Xenopus tropicalis: one gene and its partner. The protein of the gene in region 1 interacts with the protein of each later gene in a pairwise test. Links are inferred from orthologs where the notes say so. Each region holds a gene or a part of one and is shown in the gene's direction. Other genes may lie near its edges.

Evidence for each region.
Region 2: the proteins of insr (region 1) and mad2l1 interact in binary tests that used the Homo sapiens proteins (3 or more experiments, as listed by UniProt). The link is inferred for Xenopus tropicalis from reciprocal best matches to the Homo sapiens genes INSR and MAD2L1.

The regions. Positions count from the first base shown.
Region 1 is NC_030677.2:111,775,913-111,778,559, reverse strand, and holds part of insr (insulin receptor), read left to right. Parts: intron 1-60; coding exon 61-171; intron 172-456; coding exon 457-616; intron 617-1,470; coding exon 1,471-1,600; intron 1,601-1,790; coding exon 1,791-1,925; intron 1,926-2,647. UniProt on the Homo sapiens protein: Receptor tyrosine kinase which mediates the pleiotropic actions of insulin.
Region 2 is NC_030677.2:71,054,919-71,058,678, reverse strand, and holds the start of mad2l1 (mitotic spindle assembly checkpoint protein MAD2A), read left to right. Parts: upstream 1-906; 5' UTR 907-952; coding exon 953-1,022; intron 1,023-2,586; coding exon 2,587-2,733; intron 2,734-3,760. UniProt on the Homo sapiens protein: Component of the spindle-assembly checkpoint that prevents the onset of anaphase until all chromosomes are properly aligned at the metaphase plate.

The DNA.
Region 1 (2,647 bases):
ATGTAAACTTTTCATGGCATTGTTGACATTATAAAGTCTCACTGTTTTGCCCCTTTGCAGGTCCGTCTGCTTGGTGTGGTGTCCAAAGGTCAGCCAACACTTGTCATCATGGAGTTAATGACGCATGGGGATCTCAAAAGTTACCTGCGCTCACTGCGACCTGATGCAGAGGTAAGCATGCTATACAGGCTATACTAAACATTATAATTGGTTGTGGTGGTGTAAGAATGAGATGCACATTAAAGAGCTTATAAGATATATGAAGAGATGTGTGCTACAGAAAGGCAAATGGCATGTGTCACTTTGCTGTTATAGTGTGTCGCCCTGGGGCTGTCTCAAATTGGCAGTACGTTTACTTTAACATTAGAGAAAAAATGGTAGACAGCTATTAAAACAGCTAGGTACTCTAAATACTGCTACTAACTAGCAGTTCTCCTCTCACCCTTACATTTTCAGAATAACCCAGGACGTCCTGCTCCTACCCTTAAAGAAATGATCCAGATGGCAGCGGAAATTTCAGATGGCATGGCATATCTCAATGCTAAAAAGTTTGTACACAGGGATCTGGCTGCTAGGAACTGCATGGTTGCTGAAGATTATACTGTGAAAATTGGAGGTAAGTAAAATGTATGCTTTATGGAGTAATCTCCCTAGAACAACCCCAAAATATATTTTTTTAGAACTGACTGGCATCAGTATCTGATTAACTAGAAAAAGAGACTTGCCAACAAGCATGGATCAAAATAAGGGAAATGAGGGGCCATGGCTCTAGAACCCCAAAGCTTTGGGCTGCCTGGTCACAAAAGACCCTTAGATCAGGATTCAGATGAGTGTTAACTAAACCCAAAACTCACCATCTTACCCTGGCCTCAGTATGTAATGAGGGATAGGCACACCCTAACCTAAAACAAACAAACTGGAACAGCAAGGCTGGTTCTAGTAGGATGCTCCTGTGTCTTTATTTAGTGCAAACCATCTAATATTTTGGGGCATTTCCCTTCATCAAACATTGCATGGTTTGCACTAAAAATGCACTAGTTCACTAGTGTTAGCCAACATTTTGATGTTGAATTGTGACCCTATTTTGAATATTAAAATTTGGTGGCATTTGTTAGTGTCAACTTCTCTTTAACATCTACTGATACTAAAGGGGTGATTTACCAATGTTCAATTTTTTTGGTGCAAAAACTCAAATTCTAGTTTTGTAAATTTTATTTGAGAGTTTGTAGACCCGTTATAAATGTTGTATTTGATCATTTAATTTGATCGAGTTTTTTCTATTCACATTTTTTAGTAAATAAACAGACATTCAAGTTTGGTAAAATTTGAAGTTAATTTGAAGTGACAAAAACTCAAAAATGTATAAATAACCTCCCCGTATATAGCAGAATCTATAAACCAAATGCTTGTATTTGAAAGCCATTTTTTAATTTAATTTTTAGCTTCAATATTCACGTTTTTGCCTTTCAGATTTTGGAATGACACGAGATATCTATGAGACAGATTATTACCGAAAAGGGGGAAAGGGGCTGCTGCCTGTTAGATGGATGTCCCCTGAATCACTGAAAGATGGAGTGTTCACAACTTTCTCAGATGTCTGGTATGTTATCAGCATAATCAGTTAAGATCAGTTAAGAATAAAGTATATACTTTTTTGACCTCTTTTCTAATTTTCTATCCCCCCCATATTGCATACTTGTATATATTCAACAGTTGATACATTCACTTTATTTTCTGGTGCACAGTACTTATTTTCTAAAATGTGCATTTTTAACTCTCTCTTGTTTTAGGTCCTTTGGAGTTGTTTTATGGGAAATAACGAGTTTGGCAGAACAGCCATATCAGGGACTTTCTAATGAGCAGGTCCTGAAGTTTGTCATGGATGGAGGTTCACTTGACCAACCGGAGAATTGCCCTCCAAGGCTGTACGTATTAATGATAGAAGGGCAACATGTTGTTTAATTTAACATCAATGTTGCAGCCCAAGCTTTAGAGGAATTGCCAGTATCTAATTAGCTTCTCCTTTTCTTGATGTTGACATGTGACTCTTCATGGGCTTACTCTTCAATACCGTTGATACAAGATTGCAAGCACCATTAAAGTGCTAACAGAAAATCCTTAGGATATTTAGAAAATACTGTAAAGTACACATATATGCAGGGGGGAAAAATGATTGGCTACTGGGTACTGTATGGGTATAGAGGGCCCAAGCTGATCCTTATGGAAGCACAATTTTAATATATCTGAGCAAAGCTAATTATCTAAGTTTAAATTACATCTTGCTTGTGGGTCCAAAAACTTGTACTTTATAGAAAGATATAAAGTCAAGTAAATTTGAATTAAGGCGCTAAAAGGAAATGTTATCCTTTGAATTTATCCACTATTAATTACCAGTTAATAGGCAGTGAAGATAAGGATATTGTTGGTGTTAATAGATGTATTCCTTCTCTGTATATTTCACTGCCTACAAAAATAATTTTGTGGAATAATTTCCCTGTTGGAAGTCATAATTAAAAGAGAAAGAAAGGTAAAATCACTGGGGGTGCCAAAATGTTAGGTACCCCCAGTGACTGTAATCACTTACCTTATACCTCAGGTTGGTGTTCCTTGTTAGGAGAAAACCACACCAGCCCAGGGTAATTGCGAA
Region 2 (3,760 bases), about 41 Mb from region 1:
GCAGTTGGTGTTGATGGTGTAAAAAGACAGAGACGACCAGGAACGTGCAGAAACCAGCAAACAAAAATGTAGCAAAGAAATGTTCCCACAGCACTGCCTGTCAGGAGTATGCATGATCATGGGTCCCTGCCCCCCAGGCATAATGTCGCCACCTGGCCAGTATTTTACCAGCCTTGATACCAGGCCAAATGGGTAGGAATATTATTTTTTTTACCAAACAGTGGCACTGGTAACCCAACCCATGATCCAAAAACAGAAGAGCAGGGTAATAGCTCCCTATGAAATTGCCCATAGGTGGGTATGTGACAGGGAACTGCATGCTCCAACGGGATCGAGAACGATGTGAATTTTAAAGTCATAAATGTATTTTCCAGTGCCCTAAGTGTGTATACGTTTGAAATAAAATTTCTGCATAATTTGTTGTTCCTGTATGCTATATCGTAAAAATGTTAAAGTTATATACATCCAAGTCCAACGCGCTCCACGCCCACTAATATGAGCCGTACCTCTTACAAATCACAATACCATGTTCTAAATATATCTGCGGAAGACGTCTACAGAACTGCGAACATATGCTCCATTTATTTAATATCACCGACAACTGCCCAAATATCGATAAACACTGCGCCAATAAACTAAACACGTAGCAAACGCAGATTCGATTCAGTTATTCTAGCTGCAAGCAAATTAGGAAAGCTAACTTTTGATTGGTTGATATGAGCTACACTATTACCGCAAATTTTAAGATTTGCCCTCAGTAATGATGGCGAACATACGACGTCACGCAGAACGCATCTTTCCGGCTGGCTTTTAATTGGACCACAGGCTGCACATGATGTGACAGTTGTCCAATCAGAGTACGAGTCCGCCGTTGGTTTGAAGTGGAAGGCGCGTTAGTACTATCAGGACCTGAAAACTTTTGGAACCAATTCAGTTTTACAAGAAGGGTCCGATGGCCGGTCAGCTAACACGTGAAGGGATTACCCTGAAGGGTAGCGCTGAAATCGTGTCGGAGTTTTTCTGTAAGTGGTTGGGGAGGGGAAGATAACCCTTATTGGTTGCAATAGCAGTAGCTAATAACTGAGCCTTTGGCATGGCTGATATGGGGACATGGATAGAAAACGCACTGACAATTGGACTCATGCAGTAAAGGAGGGACTACACGAAAATATTTTGCTGACAGTGTGTAAAAGTCCACCCCACTATCTGCTTGCTGAGTAAAGCTGCAGCTTTGGCCAGATAGAGCATGTGATTTGGAAGTCAGGCATTAATTGGTCTCCACTGAGCATAATATCCTCTTAGAGAGAGAGACTGGCACAATATGCTGCTTAAAATCGATATTTATTAAGAACTCAATACATCTTATTCAGAGAACAACAAAGCCCTATGTGTTTTTGTGTCCCATCTGGGCACTTCATCATAGGCCAAATCATTCCTGTTTGCATAATATCTTCTTAGAGAGAGACAGGTTGGCACAAAACCAGACTGGAGTAGAACTATACTGCTTAAAATTGCTATTTATTAAATATGTAATAGATCTGTTTCAAAGAACAACAAAGCTATGTGTTTTGTGCTCCATCTGGGCACTTAGTCATAGGCCAAATCGTTCCAGTGTGCATACTCCTGCTTCCAAAGATGGCAGCCACCAGCCCTGCTGCACAACTCTGCAATTAGACAACTGATATTGTGGTGGCCTGGATTTTGTAGACATTGGCAGTGATGCAGTTGAGGGGAGGGGAGCTGCTGTAGGTGGATACAATTTAAAAAAAAAAAAGAGTATGTGGGGGTTAGTGCTTCTTTAAAATTTTGAAAAACAGCAAGCACAAATTAACTTTTTTTTCTACAATGCTACATTTGTGTTGGCTGGCCAAGATCATGCTCCTTTTGTAAGGGGTGGCTATTTGCATACACTGTAACGCTACCAAGCAATTACTTGGCACTAGATTAAATAAAGTCAATTGAATCTCTGTATCTTAAGTGAACTAAGAAAAGTGTTAACAATAAAACTGGATAGGGTAGTTTTGTCACCAATATGGATTTATGCAACTTAGTTAGGATCAAGTCAAAACACTATTTTGAGGACATCCAGTATGGTGGCCACAATTAGTCACTCCTAACATAGAAGTGCCTTACAGCTTAAGAAAATAACTGTCAGTGAAAACCTTAGCTCTGTTGCAGTAAGGCTATACTTTGTGAGGTAAAAATACTTGTACCTTATGGAAACTAAGCTACACAAATCCATATTTGAGACCAAATGATCCTATGGGGTTTATTTAATGTATAAATAACTTTTGCAAACATATGGTATGATGATCCAAATGTCAGAAAGGTCCCTTATCCCAAATACCCTATGTCCAAAGCATTCTGGATGCTATACCTGTATTTTCACTGTAATAATAACCGTAGCTGCATAAATTCATATCTATAACAATCTAGTTGGGTTTATTTCATGTTTAAATGTTTTTCAGCAAAATCAATTATAGAAAAAAACCCTTACCCAGAAAACTACAGGTCCCAAAAATCAGGATATTAATCAGTCTGTTTTTGATCATATGTTAATTTTTGTTTGTTTTTTTTTCTCCTTAGTTTGTGGCATCAATAGTATTTTATATCAGCGTGGGATTTATCCATCAGAAACGTTCACACGTATCCAGAAGTATGGACTTACACTGCTACTCACTACAGACCCAGGGCTGAAAGAGTATTTAAATAAAGTTACCGATCAGCTTAAAGGTTCTTATTGGGTTTTATACATGATCATATCTTTATTTTTTTTATCTTTCTGTATGGTTTTGTTTTTGAATAGTTGTGGGTACCTTTCCATTTTCACTAACATATCCTAGATATGTCAAGGCTATATGTGAGAAAATATGGTATGTGTTAATTTGGGCCAGACTTTACTTCAACATACACATGCTCTTATTGTTAATGTGGTCTTAAGGGTAAGAATCAACAGAGCAAGTAACTCGCTCGAGAGAGATTTTTGCTATCGTGGGCTAGTCACCGTTGAAAAGGCTTTCCACTGGCAACAATAGGAAGCCCTTCGCGTTGCTTCGGTTTTCCTCCTCCTTGGTGCGACTTCAGAGCAGTTACATGCCCGCGATAGCAGAGATCTATCTTGGGCTAGTAACTCACTCCATGGGTTCTTACCCTTAAAGGAGAAAGAAAGGTAAGATCACTGAGGGGTGCCTCTGTTAGGAGAAAGCTGCACTGGCCCTGGGTACCTGAGAGAGCGATTCTCTTATGTCTTCTCACCACTTGCGCATGCACAGTTCTGTTGGCTTTGGGATCATAAAGAAAAAAATGACAAGAGGAATAAGATTGCTGGTGCAGGTTTCTCCTAACAGGAACAGCAGCCGAGGGTATAAGGTAAGCATTTACAGTCACTGGGGTGTGCCTAACGTTTTGGCACTCCCGGTGATTTTACCTTTCCTTCTCCTTTAAGCTATTAAAACAGAAATTGATGGGACATTTGGGTACAGGGGGTATTTGTGATCATCAGCTGATCAAATTTCAATCAATTTTTGTAAGGCAGTTGGTTTACTGTTAAACTGGACTATATTAGGTCATCTTTGTTAAAGCTGCCACACCATACTGAACCTTTTGAGTGGATGTTTATTAGAGATAAGTCTACAGTGGGAGGGTTTTTTTCTTTTCTTTTTTTTTTTTTTTCTAAATTTGAACATAGGAATGCATTTCCAATATAAGCTGCTTGTTTTTTGTGTCATTTTGAAAATGTGATACCCACCCAAGGATTTTA